Linked DNA regions of Drosophila melanogaster. The protein of the gene in region 1 interacts with the protein of each later gene in a pairwise test. Each region holds a gene or a part of one and is shown in the gene's direction. Other genes may lie near its edges.

Region 1 (8,099 bases):
ATGGGACTGGTTTGGTTTGCTTTGGTTTTGGAACAACAATTGCGAGCAGCACGACGAGATTTCCATGCTGCTGGGTGTTGGGTTTTGGGTTTTGGGTTTCTCGCACACATGTTACACATTTTCATCGATTCGTAGCAGTGGCTTTAGTATATGGCGGAGTAATTAATGGCAAAAACTTACAACAGAATCGATTTTTATTCACACGGACACTCAAACACACACACAAACACACACACACACATGCAAGTGGCGCGTAGTGTGCGTAAAAAACAAGTGGGAAAAACGCCGACAAAAAGTCTCGATATACAGGGTGCAATTCGAAAACGCTCACTTTGCTGGTACTCGGAACACCGATAGCAACACTTTGCACAACAAATACGAGCTGAGAGTGACGAAAAACAATAATTTTTTGATAATTTCGCGCAGCCAAAGCGATGTTGGTGTTGTTCTTTCGTGTGGTTCGCGAGCGAACTGATTCCGAAAATCCGAAACCAGGGATGGGGTGGCACAGAAACAGCTGTGGAGTCGCGGACCAGGGCTGCGCAGGAACTTTTAACTTACTTAAAAGTGTTACTTTTCGTAACGTTAACAATTTGTTTAAGATCATTTTTTTTTACTTACACTTCGTATTTTTGATTTGATCTTTTGTTAGGTTCTTGTGTCAGCTGCTTTGCCTGCTCTTTTGATTTTCGCACCCACTCTCAACTAATTTCACTGAATATTTAATTGAAAGACTATTTTTTCGTAAAGCTTTCGGTTTTCAATCCACTTTTCACACTTCGCAGCCCAAATTTGGTTATTTGAAGTTCATCGTTCGTTTTGGGGCATTTAGTGCACTTTGTTTTTATTGGGGGATAAATCGATTTTTTTGATTTTTCGGCTCGCACGTCGGAGTAAAGGGACGCACTTCACACTTCCTTTTCCACACTTTGTTTACTGCCCAATTTGGTCATGTTGGATTCAGGGATTATTTGCTTGGGCTTTTCACACATCTCAACGGCTTTCAATTCGATTTACTGGTTTTCGGCAAAAGTTTTCATCAAGAGCAGGACACGAGAAGGCGCACGCTGTCAACTGAACTAAATTCCTTTATACCAGGACAGGATTCAAATGGGGGTGGCTTCGCTTCGCCTCAGATTCCGACTCCGGAACCCAGAGCACATGCGCCATCCACGGATGCGTTCAAATCCCACTTTCCCGCTCGCGCACTTGAGTTATTCCGGAACCATAAACAATAAAATGTACCCGAAATAGAAAGATCCTAACTCATAAGCAAAATATTTAATTTCCCGTAGAAGCTCTCTTTCTAATTACATTAGCTCATATACTTTAAATTAATTATTAAGTCGACTTACACATTCTAGTGTATGCAAAACAATCTCAACTATATCTTTAAACAGCTATAAATACACAACATACGGCGAATTTGGAAACAAAACTTCAAACTTGTGCTATTTGAAGGGGTGAACTCAAGTGGGGGGTCAGCGATAGTCGATCATGATATGGTTATAAATATTATCTAACGTGGGTATAGCCGCAGCTGGGGTATCAGCTTGGGTGGCGTTCTCCCCTCCGGGATCAGGCGCTGGTTCAGGCTGAGCATCTTGGATGACGGCGGGATTCGAAGCTGGAGTATCCTTGGTGGCTGGCCTCGGTTTTTTGCCGAAGGCGAAGCAGCCACTCTGTTTGGTGGCCACCGGCGACAGATTGTCCTTGTTCTTGGTGCTACAAACGGAATTGTAATGGAATCATTTAGAAATTGTCATTATATGTACGATTTTGGTTAACCTACAATGCCTTGAGCGCCTCCAGCTTGGGTATATTTCTGTTGTGCGACCTGCCGCCGCCCGCCGCTTCTTGAGCAGCCAGCTCCTCGGGATGCGACTTCTTCTTGTGCGTGCGGCAGTTGGAGCCGTTGGCAAAGGTGCGGTCGCAAAAATCGCAGGAGTAAGGCTTCAGTCCTGTGTGCAGGATGAGGTGATTCTTCAGCGCCTTGGCGCGCTTAAACTCCCGGCCGCAGTAGTCGCACTTGTGCTGCATCTGATCCGTGTGCACCAGTCGATGGCGATTCAAGGTGGTCCGCGAATTCAGCTGCATTCCGCATTCGGGGCAGATGTACTTGTGCGGATCATGCGTCTCCTTGTGGTGTTTCAGACGATTGGCCGACTTAAAGCACTTCTTGCACACCTCGCACTCGAAGGGGGCGTAGTCCGTGTGCTTGAGGACGTGCTCCTTGAGCGCGCTCATCGAGTGCACACCCACACCGCACTGCTCGCAAATCACCGGCCGCGGCCGCTCATCCAGGTGCATGTACTGCTCGTGCTGCTGGGCGGATGCACTGGTGGCGAACTTCTTGTCGCAACTGCTACAGGCGTACTGCTTGCGCTTGGGCAGGGGCACGTGCCATTTCATGTGCCTCTCCAGCTGGTAGTGTAGACGAAACTTCTTGGGGCAATCCGGGCATTGCAGCTGCTCGGTTGTGGGCTCAGTCTGGCCATGATCCTGGCGCAGGTGGCGCTGCAGGGTTTTGGACGTGGCGTAGCTTCGCAAGCACTCGTTGCACTGGTGTCTTTTCTCAGAGTCTGCTGCATCCTCTCCAGCTTTTTCGGTACTCGGCGAGGAGCCATCCAAGCTGCCAGCAGAAGAGTTATCCTCCTGAATGCCATACACATCGCAGAGGCTCATTAGTACACGATCTTCATTCGGTTCGTAGTCGGCATCCTGCTCATCTGGCTCCTCCGTCGGCTGATCCTGCTCCTGATCTACGCTTTCCTGCTTTTCCTCTGGCGTTAGTGGGTTTGCCAGCTCGTAAGGCGACTCCTCTGGCAGAAACTCGAGCTGTTCATCCAACTTCGGCTTCTTGTCCACATAGTGCACCTCAGTCTGCGTCTCCTCGTCCAGCAAACCAAATTTCGAGCGCAGCTCGTGGAGATTTGGCCTCTCCTGGCTGGGCGTGCTCTGCAGGATGCAGTAAAGCTTCTGCACGCGGGTAATCCGTTCCGAGAAATTCACCAGCGAGGTGACCAGCGACAGGCACTCACTGCATATCGTCTCCGGCAGCTCTTCACCTCGAGTTATCTGATGATGGGGCAAGAGAAATCAAGATAAGCTGGTTAGCTTGTGGAAATCCAAGGAGCCACGAGGAGCGCACTCACATTCACCCAGAAGTACTTGCCAATGGCGGTGGCCAGTTCCATGGAGGCTGCCTCGCCGGAATCCTCGTTCTTGAGGAACACATTCAAGTTGCCTTGCACGTCGTCCTTGGCGCACAGGCGACACCACTGTCGCCAGTCGCTGCTGGGATTTCGATCGACATGGGGAGCCGCCGGAGCAGCGTGCATCTCCACCTGCGCGGCGGCCATCGGGGAGCTCAGCAGTTGGTTATAAATAAACAAATAAATAAATAAAGCGTAAACATATTGGATTGGATGGCTGGATCCGAGCTGGAACTGGATCTCGAACTAGAACTGGAGCCGGAACCAGTGTTGCAGATGCTGCCAGATCAGTCGGATTAAGTGATTTCAATTGGATACCCTTAAATAGAAAAGGATTAACCTACAGCTTTAAGTCAAATTCTAAGATCTATGTTCACTAGCTTCATCATCAGACATCAAATGAACTTAAATCCGCAACCGAAACTAATCTAACAAGCTTTGTTCTTAACTCCGCAGCAGTCCGGCATCTCTACACTTGCAGCGAAACAGCTGACTGGCTTCATTTTGTTTGTTTCCAATTGTGAATTTAACGGGACAGCGATTGTCAATTTTGAAAATTGGAAAAATGCTCGAGGCGCGTTTGAGTCAGACTTTGCTGCTGAAGAAGATCGTCGATGCACTAAAGGAAATCATCGCCCAGGGAACGCTGGACTGCAGTGAAAATGGTCTGGAGGTGAAGAGAATAACCCTCCATCTGTCATTTTGTTTCGAATTCCCATAAAAGCTGTTAAGTAGTTCCATTGAGACTTGGGACTGAAAATGAAAAGTTGAGATAAGAAATAAAGCTTTTACAACTCTATATTCCAGCTGCAATCGATGGACAACTCCCACGTTTCGCTGGTGGCCCTAAGTCTGGCTTCGGATTGTTTTGAAAAGTTTCACTGCGATCGCAATGTCTCGCTGGGCTTGGATCTGAAATCCCTGGGCAAGGTGCTTAAGTGCGCCAATAGCGACGATGCGGTCACCATTAAGGCCGTTGACAGACCGGAGAAGATTACGCTCAGCTTCGAGTCGGATGGCAAGGAGCGCACGGCGGACTACGAGCTGAAGCTCCTCAATCTGGACCAGGATCACATGGAGATTCCGAAAAAGGACTACACCTGCTTCATCCAGTTGCCGTCGTCAGAGTTCGCGCGCATTTGCCGGGACATGAGCATGTTCGACGAGTCCCTGACGATCGCCTGCTCCTCGAAGGGCATCAGGTTCTTGGCCAAGGGAGATCTGGGCACGGCCAACATTCAGCTGAGTGCGGGCACCGCCATGGACGTGAGCATTGAGGTGCAGGAGCCCGTGACCCAGTCCTTCGCCGGTCGCTACCTCAACACCTTCACCAAGGCCACTCCGCTGGCAGATCGCGTCAAGCTCTACCTGTCCGACGAGCGGCCACTCCTGGTGGAGTATCCCATCGAGGATTACGGCCACATTCGATACTACCTTGCACCCAAGGTGAATGACCCCGATTTCTAGCTGAAGAACTACTCAACTCAGTTATTGCATAAATTCGAGCGCAATTTAAAGCATAAGGAAAGGGGATAAACGATATTTTTAGGCAACAAATACCAAAAATCATTTTTTTTAAAGCATAGTATAAAAATATAACTTGTAATAAAAACTATTTAATTGTAATTAAAAAAACATTTTACAAATTCAAATTTATATACGAAAAAACTAATTTTAAACCTTGTTATTAATTATTATTAAGTTTTTAAGGTTATCTTAATGTAGATCTCACATTTTCTATTCAGAATACTTTTGTTTTTTCATGTTGAAGCTACAAAAGAAATTAGTAAGCTATTAATATGATACAAGAACGGTTAAATAGATGCTTATAATTATTGTTTTTTTTTATGTTTTTTTTTACATTCATTAAATTCAAATTAGTTTAAAAATAATTGAAAAACAGATAAAATTAAAATTAAACAAGTAAAAATATTGTATTTTAAACTGACCAGTGATGCCGGACCTTTTGATGGCCAGTGTTGTTAGGCGCAGACTGGTCACCCTAAGTTACTGCACGTATGTGGGAACAGCTGACAACCCTGGCCAAACGCAAATGCGGAGCTAAACAAAAACCGAAAAACTTAAAAACCGGCATAAAATCCCACGCAAGTACAAGTGAACAATGGACACCGAGGAAGTGAAGCGCGGCCGCGGACGAGGGCGTGGCACCAGGGCTCGCGGGCGCGGACGTGGCCGAGGACGCGGTCGTGGCAAGAAAATCGACGACAGCAGCATCGCCGACGCCGCAGCCCTGGCGGCCAGCAGCTGTGCAGCCCTGGAGGACAGTCCGGGAAGACTGGACGCCTCCGAAGATTCGGTCATGCAGGAGCTCGACAAGGACGGCGAACTGGAAACGCCCGGCGCTCTGGAGGAGCCCCTGCCGCACGGTGCGCTAGGAGCGGTCGCCGCCAGCGGGAACATGACTCCAGCGACGCAACAGCCACAGGTCCTGCAGCAAGTGCCACCGCCCGTGATGAGCCAAACAAGTGAGTCTCCTCCCCTATTGAATGGTTGTCCAAGATAGTTAAATTGATTAACATCTTGGCTTGACCAATTCCTTGGTATCCAAACTTGAAGCATTGAACAAAGCTATCTCGCTATCTCTCGCCCGCGCAGTCGACATGGAGGCGGACATATCGCAACTGGAGGCGCCCACTTTCACCACGCTTTCGCGCGGACCGCCGGAGCCGATGCTGCGCCTTAAGTGGAACCACAAGGTGAGCCTGATCGGCGAGAAGGTGCTGAACCCGATGATCCACTGCTGCGATCAGTGCGACAAGCCGATCCTCGTCTACGGCCGCATGATACCCTGCAAGCATGTATTTTGCCTCAAGTGCGCCCGCGCCGAGCCCATCAAGAGTTGTCCCCGCTGCACGGACAAGGTGTTGCGCGTGGAGCAGAGTGGCCTGGGCACCGTGTTCATGTGCACGCACGGCGGCAGTCGCTACGGCAGCTCCGGCTGCCGTAGAACATACCTTTCGCAACGCGACCTGCAGGCGCACATCAATCACAGACATGTGGCGCCGCAGCCGCCACCGTTGCAGCCACAGCCGCAGCTGTCAGCCATGGCGGAGCAGCCAAAAATGACGGATCTGGGCGGCGTCGGTCTGGGCCTGGAGTTGCACAAGCAGCGCAAGGCGAGTGGTAGCTATGGCTCCTAAACTAAGCTGTCCTGTCTATAAAAAAACAACCGCTTGCCCCTTGCAGCTCTCCGAGTCGTCTGTCCCCATATCCGTTTCCGCCTCCATTGCGTCCCGTCCCGTCCTGTCGCGGCTGCCACTGACCGGCGGTGTCGGTAACATCGGTAGTATTGGTAGTATACCGCCACCAGGATCCGCCGCCGCCGCCCAAAACGCCATCCACGGCGGCCACTCGACGCTCACGCTGGCCAATTTGACCAGGATCAACAATGCCAATGCGCAGGAATGTCACCAGGGCAAGGCCTCGCTGCACCACACGCTCAAGAAGGGCACGCCCCACCAGTCCGAGTCGGTGGCGGATGCCTCCTACTACAGCAGCGTGCTCGCCTCCTTTGGCAGTGCGGCCGGGAATCCGGGTTCTGGGCCACCCGGCGGTGGGGCAACAGCAGCAGCACAGCCCGCCAATCCGAGTGGCAGCCATTCCGCTGTTGGCCCAGGTGCCCTGATTGGAGGCTCCACCGACGCGCCAACTGGTGGCTCGAGTGGCAACTGGCAGCAGTCGCAATACTACAGATAGGGGGACGAAAGCGAGGGGCTAGTAACCAGGGTAGACGCTTTAACGCAGGCACGCAGGCTTTTAATTAAGTGAACAAGTGTATGTTAAGCTGAACTGAACACTATTAAAGATATTTTACGGGGTTAGGCCAACCCGAACCAAAAAATAAATGCTACTCCGGTTTTAAAGCTTGGGCTAAACTTAATTCTTAATGTAGTAGTGAAGTGGTTATCGTGGCGAACAAATCAGGATAACAATTTTATGAATACCTTTGCGGTTCTCAAGCTGAACGAAATTCAAAAATCCCGCCCGATTGGCGGCCAATCGATGACGGTACGGTTTCCACTCGAGCTGAATGAAATTCAAAAAGCCCGCTCGATTGGCCGCCTATCGATGACGATACGCTCCAGCTGGTTGCTGTTCCAGCGAAATACAAAAGGTAAACAAATGCGACTTGGAGCACAGACTTCGAATGGAGCATTAGCATAAACACAACAGGCCGCAGTGCCGGAGTCAAGTGGCAGGGCCCAGGGTGAACACAACCACATCCAGTATCTGATGAGCACAGCGTAGAACTTAGGAAATCGAGGCCACAAGCAGAAGCAGCAGGAGAAGCAGCGGTTGTGAAAGAAGTTGGCGAGCAAAAGTGAAAGTTGCGCCAGAAAAATGATGAAAATTGTACTCATCAGCGGCAAGCGAAAGTGCGGCAAGGATTACATATCCGAGAGGCTGCAGCGGAGGTGGGTGCAGTGCATAGCTAGTCGTAGAAATCTTGCCAATTTGTTAAATTTGCACTGCTTGCTGCAGAAATATTCAGACAAATAAAATCCAATTCCATTCCAGATTGGGCTCCCGGTCGTGTATCGTTCGAATCTCAGAGCCCATTAAGTCGGAATGGGCTCGCAAGCTGCAGTTGGACCTGGACGCTCTCCTCGGTGATGGACCCTACAAGGAGAAGTACCGGCGCGACATGATTGTGTGGAGCGACGAGGTGCGGGCCCAGGACTACGGCTACTTCTGCCGCGTGGCCATGGAGGAGGCGCTGAGTCGCCAGCAGACGCCCTACATTCTGGTCAGCGATGTGCGGCGCAAGAACGACATCAGGTGGTTCCGGGAGACTTACGGGCCGGAACGAGTCATCACCTTGCGTCTAACATCCCGTCCAGAAACGCGGTCTGCACGGGGATG
Region 2 (7,522 bases), on another chromosome or scaffold:
TTGCCGATGTCTCAGGTCAGTGCGAATGTCTAATCTCCGGGCTGACTGTCTAATCGCATTTGATGATGACTCGACTTGACTCCACTTGATTCGATTCCATTCGATTCCATTCGCTTCCATTCGACTCCCTTCCATTCAATGCGACTTGACTTTTCCCGGCCTTCCCCCGCATTTCCCTGGGAAAATCCGGACTTAATCAATCATTGGCCGTCCGTCTGTGCGCTCTCTTTCGCTTCCTGAACTTATCTATTCGCTTTCAATTAATTTTCCAGCTTTTATGCCAGCTGCATTGGCCACAAAATTTTGTTTGGCCAAAAGTTAAGGCTTGATTGGGGTATCCCTGAACTTTGAACTGGCCGAAAACCCAGGCAATTGAAAGTTTGTCAAGTGTTTAGGGCAACAGTTCGGAAGTGACCTGAAAAGTGTGTTCGGGGAAATTTGATTCGATTAGATGGGATTTTTGGTCTTGCTACTCGCTATTGCTGCTTTTTTTTATCATTTTGCGTATTGTTCAACCTTTGTTGAACATTATTTTGCGCCGCAAAGTTTTCCCCTACCTTTCCTTTTGTCGGGCACACAGGTGCAAACAGAAAGTAAAACAACAGGAGCACCAGCCTCAGAATTTACATAAAAAAGTTTGTCATGCCCGAGGAAAAGCGGGTAAAAGCCAGCACATGCATGTTTTTGTGTATATTAAAACTGAAAACGCTGCAAACGCCTGAGCATCTGGAAAAGCCTCGTCTCCGGGTTCAACGCTTCGGTCTGGGCCTTCCAAGCTCCCTTCAGGTGCGATATATGAACTATACATACATATATGCATGATCATGTCTGGATTAGCTTAATGAAGGCAAAGACTCTGGCGAACAACAGCTGATGGGACAGACGGGAAAGCTGGGAAGCTGGGAAGCTGGCAAAATGTTAACAGTCAGTGCCAAGAAAATGCTGTCACGCAAAACGCTGAGACGATGACAATGTAACGTTTTCCCTTGGTTGTTTCGCAAGTGGAACTTTGCCGAAACTGCTCTGTTCTAATAAGTAAATATTTACGGACCATTCCATGTTATATACATTTTGTATATTGAATCTATAGCTTTTCTATAATTTCCGTATAGCATTTCGTAACTTCTTTACAAATGTTTGTATTTTTATTTAAGTATTATTGATTGTTTAATCATAAGTCTTAATATTTTCAATTAAATTGGGGCATAAGTTCTTAGCTTCCATCTTTTAGCATTTAGAATGTGCTACGATTATAAGAACGAAATTTTCCCGCTCATAAAGGGCACTTAAAGGGCGACTCTAGCTGCGTTTTCTGCCCCAACATGTGCTTACATGTGTGTAAGCGCATTTTGCAACGTGTTGGGGGCTCTGACATGCTGACGGCAACATGCAACACAAGCCACCGAGCGCAGCGGCAACATCAGCAGAACATACGTGCACGGCAGCAACGGCAAGAGGGAACGTTGGAGAAACGGGGAAGGCTTTAGCTACCAGCCATGAAAATCCTTCAGAGTCGCGTCGAAACATCCGCGTGACGACGTCATCGTCGTCGTCATCGTCCTTGTCTTCTATTGTTGCTGTTGCAGCCAGTGTTGCTGTTGTTTCTGCTGCTGCTGCCGCTGGCAGACATTGCTGCAAAGATTTACGGAAAGTTTACAGCCTCAGACATTTGTTGTGGCTTTTATAAATTGTGTCTGTGCGTGGGTGCCAAGGTGTCTCCTCTGGACGCGTTGTGGGTGAGGGGCGTGGCACGGCTGCCTTTGTTGCATTGCAGTAACAGCAGCGGCATCATCAGCAGCGGCAGAAGCAACACGAAACACGTTAAGCGCATTGCCATTTGTGCCACATCACGGCAAACGGCGAGGGAGCTCCTTCCTTGGATCATGGGAATCCCCGCATCTGGCACAAGTTGTTCAATTCAGCAAACAAAATAAGGCGGAGAATAAATAGAGAAAAATACATATAGAAGAAAAAATAAAACACGAAAAATTGCCTGCCTTTGTGCAACCGAATGGCTTAAGCGGGATTTATCGGCATGCCGAAAGGTGAATTCGATTGATTGCTCCGATAAAGATGAGCGATGATTCGGGCTATTGTTATAAGCGAAATTGTATGAGGCCTGTTGTTCAGTTAATTCTACAATTAATCAGTGGCCAAGCGGAAATTGTTGTCAAAAGATTTTGCTCTCCTCGTTCATTTGCAACATTTAAATAACTACCACAATGATTTCGTGAAGGATTCCCCTCTTTCTAAAATTTATTGCTGTGGAAAATATACATATGTACCACGAGTTTTAATTTACGGACTCATTCGTAATTCGTGCATCCATCACGCATCAATTTTTCACGTTTATCGATTACGGTTATTAATCATTCCTTTTCAGGACGATTCGATGCACTTTTGTCGACTCATTCGATGCTGAATCCTTCGGCTTAAGCGCGTTCAGCTTGTTAAATGCGCTGCTGGCAAATTGCATTCCCCATTTCCCTGCCATTTTCCATTTCCCACCCACACTTTCCGCCCACTTCCCGACAGGACACAGATGCTGCCACGACCGTGCGACTGAGATGGATAGCTATACTCGCGTCGTAATTAACATTAATTTCGTATAAACTTTGGCACATTGCGTATACGCCATGTGTGCGAGTGTCACTCGCAGTAATATTATCATACAGCATACACTGAGCATTCAGCAAGCGAACAAAATTTCAGGCGATATTCGCAATTAAAATCATTAAATGCTTAATAAACTTTGGAGATAATGACAATATTAGCGCAGTTTACTTTGCTCAATATATGGTTCCTTGTCGATATTCCATCCTTTTCGATAAGAGAACCCATGTTCTGCGCGTTTTTTCTTCGAGTGCTGAGGTGATACTAGATTGTCGTACCACACAAATTAACTGCGAGCACAATTGTTTTACACATTGTTGTCTGGGTTGTTGTCAAGACAGCAGCAGGGAAATGGAAATCTTTATGTGTGGATATGTGCCTTATGAACCCTTCGCTTAACCCCACTGCATCCCGGGGGTCTGTGTGCGTGCAAATGTGCGAGCTCAAAGTTGAATTTTCTTCAATTGACCTTTTAAAATCCTTTCCTTGTTGGTTCTTAATACAAGCACTTCTTGAATGCTGATTCGCTGACAAAAATGTTTTCTTATTTGTTTCAGGTGAGGGTTGCTTATGATGAAGAAGGCTACTTTCCTTTTAGGTAGATATCAAATTGTAAAAACTCAATTAAAGCAAACGGTAAGCAATGAAAATCCGTCTTAAAGATATCATCGAATCTAGAGATACAGCGGCTTTGGCCTGTTTGCCATTTGCGGTTGGCTGCACTGTAAGCTGACAATTGCAGCTCAAAAGCTCGAAAAGGAAAAGCGATACCAAGTGGGAAGAGCGGAAAACCCAGGGAGCATGGCTAAGGAAAGAGAGGTGGAGTTTTCCCCTCGAAACTAATGAAGTAAAAGCGAAGTAAAAGGGAGAAAGCCATAAACAAACGGCGCGAGCACGTGACTCAGCTCGTTTTTATTATTGTTACCAAGTTGCGCGACATAAATGTATAAAAGGTCCCAAAAAATACTTATTAATTGAAATAACGTTCTTCATTTATGTTTTTATCTCTTCATGCATCTTGTCCTCATTAGCTTAAATAAATTACAATCGGAATCAATTTAAATATACACTTGCTATACAGAAGTTTTTAAATATCTAATACATATTACAGTGAATAAATTAACAAAAGCTATCCAAATAATCAGTGTTATTATGAAATTGGTTTATGAAATTGGTTTAAAATTTGTTTTGATTTAATCAGTCATAATCTTTTAAATTTATTGAAGGTCTTGACATATGTTGATTGAACTCCGATTTTACTGCAATAGACCGCACTTCCTCTGCGGCGGTTCATTCCATTGTCGATTTGAAACTAAAGGAGTTGCCAGTGGGAGGTGGACGAAAGTAGTGGCGTGGGAGGGGGGTGGCCACAGGGAGTTTGCAGTCCTAGTCCGACTGTTGCCCTCTCCCTTGGAAGCGATTCCCCCTCCCCCCTTTTTACCCCTAGTTGCATTTCGTTGTTCTACAGAGGCAACTTGAGTTTTGTTTGTGTTTTGCTTTGTCTTGTATGTTGACACATTTTTCTTTCGCATTTTCTTTTTCAACTATGTATGCATGTGTGTGCGAAACCGGAAATTACAAATGCAACAAAATGTTCTCCAGAGTTTTGATAGCATTGTCTCAGTTGCAGTCTAGGAATCTCTTCTAAAGACGATAATTCCACGCTCGTGACTCCGTCATGGAACTCATTAAAAGAATCACATAATATTAACTTGAAACCGTTAGAAAAAAAAAATAAACAAGTAGTTTGTGAAATAAGTAATCAAAAGTTGATTTCATTTGTTCTAACCTTCTGTCATCAGTATAATTTTACGTCGAGACGTCAACAGTTCGACTCACACAGAATTATAATCACAAAAAAAAAAAACCGACATTTTCTTAAAAATTCCTAAATGGAGAACAACAATTGCGAGGGCGAGCAACCATCGACATCCGGTGCATTCTGTAGGTGCTCCGAGTCTGGCATTGGTATATCTGCCGTCCTGGATCTCGCTCAGTCGGAGTACTCCCTGGACACCACGCCGGAAGCTGTGATGGCGAGTGCATGTCGTCTGGAGAACGAGAACGATGGTAATGATACCGATGAGGAGGTGGAGATCTGCTTCACCAGCTTGATGCCCGATCACCGTAGGCGCTTGTATATGGACTGCAAGCTGTCTCTTCCGGCGGGCGGAAGAGTGCCCATGCGCGGCGGCGCAGAAGCCATTTCCGCTTCCCCACATGGCAGAATCAGTTCTCCGGAAATTCGCTATGAGCGGCTGAGAAATACTGCAGTCGAGGTGCGCAAATACTGGAGATTGCAGAAGCTGGACATGGCTTGTCCGCTGAGCAATTGCGACTTGATGTTCAATCCTGAGCAGCTCCTAAGTCACTGCCTGATGCACCACGAGCACATTATTACAATGGAAATGAAGCCCAAGGAGCCAAAGGTTCTGAAGCTGTGTGGAAAATCCTTGCCCGAGGACAGGGGCAAAAGCAACTGTGTGGGTCTGATGATCTACGAGAGTGGCAACAACGCGACCAGGAACTTAAATCTACCCAATATCTACAAGGACTGGGAGTGCCAATTGCCCGTCCTGATAATGCTGTGGAAGACTTCCTGGGACTCGATGCCCGTCGGACCGCGAGTGACCCATATCTATATTCTGTGGCTGTGCTGTCCCCAGGCCCAGACGCCTTTGTTGGTATCCGTGAATATCGGAGAAAACACTCCGGGAGTGCCACGTCGGCAGATGATTCAGACCTGTCAAGGCTCGGAGACCCTGAAGAATTGCGATCTGCTTTCGGACAGTCCGCATTTTATGCGATTCACACATCGCGAAATGAAGGAGCACACTGAAGACTACACGCTGGACGTCGACCTACAGTTCACCATTCTAGAGGATGAGGGTAGAGTGGGGCCCATATCGCCTAATCCTAATGAGGGCACCTTTCGCGAAGACGACATCGAAATAGAACTTGCGGAAAAGGAGAATACCTCCAAGGAGGAGGTATTTATTGGGAACTCAGAAGGGCCTCAAGCGAACTAAACGCAGTCTATCACAATGATTTTTGGAATGATTTTTCAAAATTATTTGCATTACTTTGATACTGTACCTAAAAATTGTTTCAAGTTTTTTTAAATTATTTTGGATCACTTTGTACTTGGACGAAATACCATATCTCATAAGCAATTCAACATATGCAATCTTGTAAATTTTCATCAAAATTGTATCAGTAAAGATCAAATTCCTTATTAGAACTAAAATTAAATTGTTATTAATTAATGCGATGACAAATTAGTTTGAAAGTGCCATTTACATCGTTCAATAGGTTTAAATAATTAATTGTTTAGTCGATAATAAAATAAAATAAATAATAGTTTCGAACTGCCATTAAATCGGCCCTTTGAGTTCAAACTTGTATGTATGGTATGTGTACATTTGAAAGTGCATCATAATGTTGAGTGTATTTGCAATTTTCTCGGTCAGACTGACAGCTTAATTTAATTATTCTTGAACACAAATGTTGTGGCAAACTCGCCCACTTAACCCGCTGTGTGTTTGCTTGGCCAAAAAGCTGTTCGCTGGAAATTTTTCGCTTACGCCGCAGCGTATGCAACATGTTTGCCATGTGGGGCAGGGGCGTCGTAAAAGAGGGGGACAAGGGCTGTTCGGTTTTGCTGTCCAGGTCGTTGGCAGCCATTAGCACAAATGTCGTCGCAAAAGGGGGCGTGGCGGGCAGAAGGAGGAGTAACTGCATCAACAACTTTTTAACCAACTTGCCAGCCCAGACTAACAAGACCGCAGAAATTGTGAACAGGGGTGTTGTGGAGAGGGGCCAAGGGGACTTGTGGCGGCAAACTAACTAACTCGATGCTTTTGCCTGGCACTTGTAATGTACCGTTATTGTTGCAACAGCACCGCCGGGGGTGGGCGGAGGTGGTTTTGGCTGCTTTGTCCGCGAAATACTTTTCTGTCCTTTTTATTCGGTTGCAAAAAAAAAAAAAAAAGAAAATGTAAGCTCAACTTCAGCTGCAGAGATTTTTCGGTCAGCGTTAATGCAGCAGTGTTACCCCCCTGAAGAGGACTACACCCCCCGCACCATTTGTGCCAGGGCCGCTGAACGCTTTATGAGCAATGCATCCGAGCACTGAGAGAAATGGGTCGACCTGTTTCAAGTAATACGAATATCCGCCCGAACAGGATTGGTTTCGGTTTTCGGTTTAACGAACGTAATCGTAGATTAGTGACAACGATCAAGTACATTGATATAAGGCTGTCACTACAATTTTTATGCCGCCGCAAAAACAAAAATATTGTAAATAGAGAATACCCATTTAAGGACCCAATCCTTTTCGCTTATATTTTGCGATGCTAGATTGCTTTCTTCTTTTCGGTCAGTGAATCCCCGCGGTCAGTTCCATTGCGGTCTGCTCATCTGTGTCCGTGTCTGCCAAGTTTTTGGACCCCTTGACCCCGGTCCCGTCCCCATCGCCACGCCCCGAAGAACCACGGTAAAATAGTGGCCAACTTTTTGTGTATGTACCACGGAGCACAGGGTCCCCCTTCGGACACTTTAAATTGCACACAAATTGGCAGAAATGGCTGTTGCCAGAGTTCCATTTTTGGCCGTTGCCTTTGACAATTTTTTGCCCGGGAAAGTTGCTGTTTTCCGCCCGAAAATAAAAAGAACGCATTTTAATAAAACTAAGACAATAACGACTTTGCGTCTCCCTTTGTTCGAACAACCTCCCCCCCCACCCCACCCCTTTACAGCCATTCTACTTTTTGTCTAGTCTGGTCTTCGGAGAATTAAGTGGTGTGGTTTGATGTTGTCCAGGGGCAGCCGCAGAATAAGTGGCAATTGAGCATTTGATTGGGCAGTGAGTCTGAGAAGTTTGCAGCCACGGCTGTGAGCATTGAAATAT
Region 3 (9,418 bases), on another chromosome or scaffold:
ATACAAAAATAATAGTAGAGAGTCAAAGATTGTGGGTTTTCCATGGGTAAATCCTCTAGAGCGCCGTATTGCGTCCACCAACGACCATGGCCAGCAAGGCCATACGGATGTACATGCCGTACTCCGCCTGCCGGAAGTAGGCGGCCCTTGGGTCCGAGTCGATCTCCCGGCTGATCTCGTTCAGACGCGGCAGCGGATGCAGAACAATCGAACGCTTCTTGGCCCGCATCATATGCTCGGGCGTCAACACCAGATGGCCACAGCACTGTCGAAGGAAAGCAGTGGGAATGAGCAAGTAGTATAGCAAGTAAAATTGAGACCCTTTTTACCTTCTCGTAATCTTCCACGTTATCAAAACGCTCGCGCTGAATGCGAGTCATGTAGAGCACATCCGTGTCGGGCAGCACATTCTTTAGGTCGCGTGCAAATAACTGCTTGACGCCGCGCTGATGGACGAACTGGACGACCTCATCGGGCATCTGCAGGCTATTCGGCGCCACATACTGCAGGTTCACATTGTACAGGGTCAGCAGGCGGGCCAGCGAGTGCACGGTCCGTCCGTTCTTCAAGTCGCCCACCATGGTGATGGTCAGCCCGTTCACAGTGCCAAACTCCTCGCGGATGGTGAAGATGTCCAGCAGCGCCTGCGTGGGATGCTCACCGACGCCATCGCCGGCATTGATAAGCGGCTTTCGGGAGAAGGTCGCTGCGCGCTGTTGGAAATAAAAAAAATTAAGTAGATAATGGATTCAATGGCATATAGAACACGGTTCCACGGACTTCTACTCACCGCTACAGCTCCGGGCGATGGATGACGGAGCACCACGACGTCGGCATAGCTGGACACAACCTTGATGCTGTCCTCCAGGCTCTCGCCCTTCTTCACCGACGACGTGATGTTGTCCATGCTGATCACTCGCCCTCCCAAACGCAGCATGGCAGCTGCAAAGCTGCACTGCGTCCGCGTGCTGACCTCGTAAAACACACTGGCCATGATCTTGCCTGGCAGCAGCTCGTCCACCGGACGATCCTTCGTACCCCGCAGCTTGAGCAGCTGTGCCAGGTTAAAGATGTCGTTGAGGTGATCTTTGTTGAACATGTCAACGGCAAGGATGTGCTTGCCCATTAGCGAGTGGGCCACCGGATTTGAGTTGGTAGTGCGCTGCAAGTATTCCCGCAGCGTGGTGTTGCTGGCGGAATCCAGACGGATGCGTGGGGATGGCGAGTTGGGGCGCAGGAAGTTGGCTCCGTCCACAAAGTGCACCTTGGTCGATATTCCATGTACGCCTCCACCGGGTCCTTCGGAGGTGAGGAGGCGGGTAAAGGTGTCATTGGCATCGTTGTCGCTGGGCAGCAGATCCTGTGATGCCTCCGACGCCAATGGACTCTGTTTGGGGCGCACATTCTGCCCGAAGCCGGGCTGCACCAACACTTGGCCATCGACGAAGGCCACCTCGCCGCGAAGAACCACCCGGTGGACGCGTCCCTTGACCTTGGTGCCCTCAAATGGTGTCCAGCCGGACTTGCTCTTCATCTCATTGCCCGTTATGGTCCACTCCTCGTCGAGATCCACCTCCACGTAGGTCTGCGCCTGATCCGGCAGGTTGAAGATGATTTTTGGATTGCGATGGAACTTCCTCTTGATGTCCTCCATCGTCAAACGACCCTCGTGAACAGCCTGCAGGAGGAGCGGCAGAATGGTCTCCACGCCCGGAAATCCAGGCGGTGGACGCTCCGAACGTTTCTCGGCCAGTGTGTGTGGCGCGTGATCGGTGGCAAATACATCGATGTAATCAATATTCTCCCACAGAGCCTCTTGATCCTCCGGTGAGCAGAGCAATGGCCTTACCTCGGACATTCCGTGACCCAAACGCTCCACATCCTTGGTGCTGAGGAACAAGTGATGGGGGCACACCTCGCAGGTCACCTTGACGCCCTTTTCCTTGGCGGAACGAATCAATTGGATCTCCTCCTTTCGCGCCACATGGCAGATGTGAACCGAACGGTCGAGAAGATGGGCCAGCATAATCACAGCCGCTGTGCTCTGCCTCTCCGCATGACAAACGATGGGAGACCGCTTGGGCCAGTGGCTGAGATGCCTCTGCCAGCTGGTCATGTCGCTCAGTTTTAGGGTGCCGAAAGTGTCGTTTAAGTACATCTTAAGGCCACACGCATGACTGGCCAGCTCGTTGACCTGCGCCCAATTGTCATCCGAGGCCCCCACATACAGGGCATAGTCGCATCGAGCTCCCGCTTTGGCCAGCTCCTGGAACTGGGTGAACGTCTCTCTGTCCACGATCGAGGGATTTGTATTGGGCATGGCGCACACGAGGGTCACGCCGCCAGCCAGAGCGGCTGCTGTTCCACTGGCAAAGTCCTCCTTGTGCGTGGCTCCCGGCTCCCGCAAATGCACATGCACATCGATGAAGCCCGGCAGCTTCACAATTCTACGCGAGGTCATACAATCCGTGTGCGTCTTCATTGGCGGCTTGCCACCGTTCATTCGCATTGATTCTACCAGAAGCTTGGTGCACTTCACATCGGTCACCAGCGGAATGGAGTAGTCCACGGCCAGGCGACGGGTGCGGTAGCCATGGGTCATGAACGAGGAGACCCTGGAATAGTATCAGGAAATCACATTTACTTGGAGATACATATGTACATATAATCAAAAGGCACTGCCTTAAAACTAACAACTATTAATTCTTCAACTAATTGCTCTAATTTTAAAAATAAGAGAATAGCTTGCGTAAAAACACACGGATAAACTGACATACGGACATGACAAGATATACTTTTTAGGTTTGGAACTGTCTTCAATTTTATAAAAAACACTAAAAATATATCGTTCGGATATCAGTTTTACTCCACACAAACGAAAATTCTTTGCACTCAGTTATAAGTACTTTGCACTCCAATTGGACTTTAAAGAAAATATAAATAACATTTAAGATGTCTGAGCCAGATAAGAAATGGAATTAAGACAAGCCCTTTTTATAACTTAATAACTTAAATTATATGCCAAATTGTTGTGCAAACTGTGTTCAAGGCCCAAAAATTCCAGTGACTAACATTTGTTTGAATATTGAATCATTAAGTCGTTAATACCCCTGAAAACAGAACTTTTATCAAAGTAGGTTAGCTATATAAATATGCATATCCGCTACAAGAAATATGTTATATATGTTTTATAGGTAAACACAATTAGAAAACAAATACTATTCGCACTTGCAGACTTCTTCCTGAAGTTCCATGGATCACCAACTTAGTGGCATATATATTTGGGGGCCATTAAAAAGAGTCACCATCGAATCGTACTCACCGCCTGGCACCCCCGCCGCTCATCGGGAGGTTGATGACCAGGTCGAACTGCTTGTTGGCCAGGAACTCGGCCAGGTGTCTCAGCTCACCGTTGATGTCATCGGGAGTCGTCTTGTCGAATGTCCACTGCACGGATTCCACCTGCAAGGGCAAAAGCACACATATATACAATATTTACTCGTACATAGACATAGATCATATACAATGGTATATATATATATATATATATATAGAGAATGCGACCGACCGATCATCACCAAGGCCACATGTCATCGTCATCCGCGCCACCAACTCTACTTCCAATCAATTGTTTGCCCAGAGTACACCATATAGATACCATTATTTATGGATCTTTCATGTCTACATCGAAGACAATAGAGCAACAGGCCATGGCAATGGCACAGTGGTGCAGATATGTACGATCTTACACAATAATTCCAAATAAATCGAACTTTGAACATTTGATATGTGAATAGTGGTAATAAGATATATTCAATCGAACTAAGAGTGCAATCAGAAGAAAATCTTAAGTTACTATTTTAAGATAAGAATTCAATAGATCAATTTTTATATTATATTTCCTTTGAAGACCATCTATTTTAGACGCCTCCTTGAGTTTTTTGTCTGTTTGTGCGGCACAGTGAAGTGGAAATCAATTCCGTTTTCATGGAAGCACCAGGAACTGGCTGATAATGGATAATTGGGCCGAAGGAGGTGGTGGCCGGAAGAGTCGTTCAGCTCTTATCTTTCCGATTGCCATTACTAGATCGCAGATCGCAGGTAATTGGTAATTGGTGATTGGTGAACTCCGATCGCAGATTGTACACTTTATCAGCCGGAATTCAGTCACAAATCAGCGATCGTCCGTTGAGTATGGGCTGCTCCTGGTCGCGATCCGAGCAGGTGGATTCCAGTGCCACGCCCAATGCCCTGCAGGCGGGCATTCCCGCCCAGCGCCAACAGAGGAGGCGGCGCCAAGAGGAGAAGCATCTCCGCCAGCTGCAGAAGCTCCAAAAGCGTAACGCGCGTAAACGTCGCCGAAAGAAGGGCGCAGGATCTGGATCTGCCAGCGCCGGAGGATCTTTCCTCGGTCGTGGTGGATCGATTCACAGACGACACATCAACGGAAAAAGCCATCCTGATCTCGCCCTGCAACTGCGTCTACTGGGCGGCAGCAATGGAAGCACGGCCACCGAATGTGTCAGTGCCCTGTATGCCAGAACATTGGAGCAGCAGCGCGAGGAGTTCCAGCGGACCGTGGAGCAGAGGACCCTACACCAATTGGACCGCGAACTGCACACCTTCCTGCTGAACCAATTGCTTCTGGGTATCCAGTTCTTTGGGCACTTCGAGGCCGAGATGGCCGTGGTCGATGCCCAAATCGTGGCCAGGCGACGCAACTGCTCCGCCGAAAAGCTGGCCGAGCACAGCTTGCTCCAAAGTAGCGCCATCGATGCAGCTGTCGCCAGGAACCTGCTCTTCAAGCCGCCGTAAGTCTTTTCCTTATCCTCTCTCCATACTTTCTAGATTTTTCTATACTTTTTTGCCTACATTTTATGATCTTCTCTTTTTTCATTTTAAAATTGGTTTTTAATATATGTATTTATAACCGATTTCAGATCTTCGAAGAGTCCACCACAGCTGCTGCAGAAACCCGTGACCTATGTGGTCTTTGAGAACGTTGACGTGGCGCGACCCCACGATGCCAACTACGACACCGTGGCGGCACTGTGCAAGGTGCTCCTGGAGACGGACTACTACCGGACCACGCCCTGCCCCTCGGAGCTAGTCAACTTGATGGAGATGACCAGGTGGATGGGCTATGTTCGCCTCAAGCTGCGCGACCAATTGCCGCATCCGCAGGCGGGCACGCCCACTAGCTCCAGCTTATCTTTGCCGGCCAGCAGCGATGAGGAATGCATCTACGGTGATGTGGGATCCTCCGCATCCAACTCCCCATCCTCGGGCTACAGTTCGGGGGACTACGATTATGTCTACTTGGCCAGGTTGAATACTCCGCGACCGCTGGAGGAGCTGCGATTTGATCGCGATTTCAATTTCCAGAGGAATGTCCTACCTGGGAATTGCATTCGCCGTTTGGCCAATTGTCTGCCTCCTTGGCTAGAGCAAACCGACGACGAGGAGTCATCCTCCGCCGCCTCCAGCAGTGACGAGGACGAGAAGGATGAGGCGAATTCCGATAATCGCAAATATCCACCGGCTGGCTATGAAACGGTGGAGGTGCTTCGCCAGTGTCATGTGGAGCAACTGCAGCAGTGCTACCTCAGTTCGCAGCAGTTCATGTTGTACTTTGGAGAGGTGCTGCGTCATCATTTGGCTAACCAATTGGGCATCAGCCAATCGCAGCTGGCCGCGTGTTCGTATCGCGGCTGTAGTGTATATACCGCTCGCGAGGAGCTGGTGCCCGCCATTCATGTGCCCAATTCCTGGCCGGATTGCGCCTTCGAGTTTTGGCTGAGGGCTCGTCCTCGTTTGACCAACCTCCATACTGCCGAACAATTCCAATGGCCAACGGAGCAGATGAAAAAACGTATTCGATCCATGGGCTTCCATGTTGTACCAGTGGGCTATGCACCAAAGCGTTCGCGAAATCCCTTCAGGGAACTGGAATGGCGCATTGTCTTTCCCCAGGCGGAACAGTTTCTCGAGCGGCACTGCCTGACGCCCATGCAATTGAAGGTGTTCCAACTAATGAAGCTGCTGGTCAAAACCTTTGTGGACGAATCAACCACATCCTGTGACCAATCCCCGGGAGCTTTGCTCGAACAGCTGAGAGCCCATATGTTTTGGCAATGTGAGCAGCACAGCAATGATTGGCCAGAGGAGTTTCTGGGCGAGCGATTGGTTCGATTCATTCGCTCCTTCGACGCCTGTTTGGCCAAGAAACACCTGAGCGACTACTTCATTGAGCGGCGCAATCTATTCGAGCATATCCCAGAGGATACGCTGATGAAGCTGCGCAGCATAATGGCCGGAATTGCGGAACAACCGCTGCTGCATGTCATCCAGGCACTGAGGAATCTTCAGCACGCGCCGGAATTCTACCCGCAACTGGAGTACAAGCGACTGTTGGAGAATCTCTTTAGCCAGGATTACCTGGAGCTGCACGGACGGGGCAAGTTCTCGCGTCCACGTCAGGGATTTCCCGCTCTGCAGAACTGTGAAGAAAACAATGGCGGGCAGCAGGTGGAAACGAAAAAAAAAACCGAAAGGACGGAGATCACCGATGCCAAGGGACTCTTGGGATTGGCTCAGCACCAGGAGCGCTCGAGAGGAAAGCTGCGCAGGAAGACACAGCTCTTAAGGGCCACGACTCAGCAATTTCAAATCTCGGCGACGGAACAAAGACGTTGCTCGCTCGACTCCCTGGATCGCCAATTGCTATTGGCACGCTCCAATCCGGAAAGTTCCAAGAGCCAGGAAGCAGCGAAACCGCAACTGAACAACGGCTTGGAGATCCTGCGAAGGAGCAATCTGATCGAACTTCTGCTGGATCATTCGCTGGCCATGTTGGCTCGTGCCATTCGGTTTGGCAACCGTGGACATGCACAGCTTTATCTGGAGCATGGGCAAAGATTGTGCCGCCTTTATCAGCACCTCGGTTGCTCGCAGCAGGCACAGCACTTCGTCCAGGAACTACAGAACGCAGCCAGCGATATGGAACGCATGTGTGAATCGCATATACCAACGTCATCGGGCGGCAGTCCCTCCACGGTGGTTGAATCTCCGCCAGCGCCAAGGAAATCCATCAAGTTCCAGGAGCATGTCGTGCAGATACACACTCCAGAACCGCTGGCCATGCAGAAGCATATGCCCCATCTGGAAAACCATCAGCTCAATGGGATTCTAAGAGCTCACCACCAAGAGGATGCGAACGCCATTGAACCCCTACAGGAGGAGGAGATCAAGAGCGCGTTGCTTCGGGAAATAGAAAGTCGCATAGAAGAAAAACCCAATGTCCAAAGAGATAGAGAACCAATAGATTCTCCTGAAGTGGATAGCCTTAAGCCGCAAACGGGAATCAAATCAAAATCGGAGGAAACAGCCAAGGAGGAATCATTTCTCTCGCTAAACGGAATCCTTCAAAGGCTCTCCCTCGACACGGATAAGGTGCAAATGCTGGGCAGCAAAACGGAGCAACTGGTCCAAAGAGTAGCCCCATCCGAGGCCAAGCGGGATGAACTCAAGGAGATCCTCAAGCGCAACGCACAGAAGCTCAAGGGCGCATTCAACTAGAGACACTAAAGATAATACTACCATATAGTAGCCAAATTGCTAAATCCCGGCGATTAGTGATATATTGATATATTGATAACAGATAAACCAGTTGTGATAAGGGCGGTTAGAGATAGAGATAGAAATATATATATAGTTATGGGCCATAATTATTGTCCATACCATGTGCGCCATATATATTTTCGTAATTAGTAATCTTGAAATCAACGTAATTTCTCTATGATAATAATGTTATTGAATTTGTAAACCAATGTCATGGAAAATAAATAATGCAATATAAACAACCGTTCAATTTGTAAACCAAGTCAGGGAAAACAAATAGTAGGAAATGAGTATTGAAACTACTCAACTTTGTTGACTCGCATCTCCAATGGATTTTGATTAAAGTTGCATGATATACAATAAGCACACAGACATAAATATACTCACATTAACTCCGTGTTCGGCATAAAAGTCGCCAGTGCCCATGGAAGCGTATAGCTTGTAACCCATCTTGGCCAGATCCCGTATGGAAGGCAGCAGCTCCATCTTGTGCTGCAGATGAATGGAGTTATTAATGGAGTAACTAATATCAATAATCAATGGAGTGGCCAACAAACCTTGAAACTGCCAATGGAGAGAAGTACGGCGTTCTTGGGTATCTGGAAGCCCGTGGACATCATGGCCTTGAGATACGCCTCATAGCGGTTGTCCCCGAAGCAGGCAACCTCACCGGTGGAGGCCATCTCGACGCCCAGCTGTACATCCGCGCCCGCGAGCCGCGAGAAACTGAACTGTGGCACCTTGACGCCCACCTTGCCGACGCCATGGAGCACATCCAGTGGCTCCACATCGAGTCCCACAATCGCACGCGTCGCCGTGGCCACAAAGTCGTGGTCCAGCGTCTTGGAGACGAAGGGGAAGGATCGCGACACACGGACATTGCATTCGATGACCTTCAGCTCGTTGTTCTTGGCAATTAGCTGCATGTTGAAGGGACCGGTGACATCCAGTACGCTGGCCAAATCGCATGTGATCCGTTTAATGGCCTCCAGGGTCTCCGCATTCAGATCCTGCGGTGGGGTAACCAGCGTGGCATCACCTGAATGCACTCCGGCATTCTCCACGTGCTCCGAAACAGCCATGCACAGGATGCGTCCATCGGATGCCACTGCATCCACATCGATCTCCTTGGCCTCGGTGAGGAACTTCGAAATGACAACCGGATGCTCGCGACTCACCTCGGAGGCGGCGTTCAGATATGTCTCCAGATCCTGATTGGAATAGGCCACATTCATGGCCGCACCGGAGAGCACATAGGATGGCCTAACCAGACAGGGATAGCCAACCTCCTCGCAAAATTCGATGGCCGACTGTAGGTTGGTCAGCTCCTTCCAGCGTGGCTGCAAGATACCCTTCCTGTCCAGCATGCGCGAGAATTTAAATCGATTTTCGGCACAGTCGATGGACTCCGGCGATGTGCCCAACACCTTCGCCTGCTGGCGATGCAGATCCATGGCTATATTGTTGGGCAGCTGGCCGCCCATGGACAGAATGATGCCCTCGCTATTCTCCATCTCGTAGATGTCCATGACCACCTCGAAGCTAATCTCCTCGAAATACAAGCGATCGCACATATCGTAGTCGGTGGAAACCGTTTCAGGATTGTAGTTAATCATGATGGTGGGTCGCTGTAGCTTCCTCAATTCGCGCAGGCAGCCCACGGCACACCAATCAAACTCCACTGAGGATCCGATACGATAGACGCCCGAGCCCACCACAATAGTGTGTCCGCCGGGGAAGTCCACATCGTGCTCGCTTCCGTTATATGTGTGGTACAGATAGTTGGTACTGGCGGGCC

What was found. The genes of interacting proteins can lie anywhere in the genome.
Region 2: the proteins of Hakai (region 1) and CG1314 interact in a two-hybrid assay, tested with the Drosophila melanogaster proteins (one large-scale study listed by BioGRID).
Region 3: the proteins of Hakai (region 1) and CG15865 interact in a two-hybrid assay, tested with the Drosophila melanogaster proteins (one large-scale study listed by BioGRID).

What each region holds. Positions count from the first base shown.
Region 1 is NT_033779.5:19,579,609-19,587,707, reverse strand, and holds Hakai (hakai), read left to right. Parts: upstream 1-5,233; 5' UTR 5,234-5,337; coding exon 5,338-5,701; intron 5,702-5,804; coding exon 5,805-6,352; coding exon of another isoform or gene 6,353-6,376; exon of another isoform or gene 6,377-6,422; coding exon 6,423-6,932; 3' UTR 6,933-7,096; downstream 7,097-8,099. Other genes in the region: CG10366 (uncharacterized protein), read right to left, coding at 1,482-1,725, 1,793-3,078, 3,156-3,362; PCNA2 (proliferating cell nuclear antigen 2), read left to right, coding at 3,781-3,888, 4,023-4,682; Pmvk (phosphomevalonate kinase), read left to right, coding at 7,578-7,651, 7,755-8,099.
Region 2 is NC_004354.4:20,866,323-20,873,844, reverse strand, and holds CG1314 (uncharacterized protein), read left to right. Parts: upstream 1-4,447; 5' UTR 4,448-4,505; coding exon 4,506-5,642; 3' UTR 5,643-5,856; downstream 5,857-7,522.
Region 3 is NC_004354.4:16,659,232-16,668,649, reverse strand, and holds CG15865 (uncharacterized protein), read left to right. Parts: upstream 1-4,194; coding exon 4,195-4,811; intron 4,812-4,940; coding exon 4,941-7,578; 3' UTR 7,579-7,752; downstream 7,753-9,418. Other genes in the region: r (rudimentary), read right to left, coding at 56-265, 330-713, 791-2,615, 3,323-3,462, 8,008-8,112, 8,178-9,418.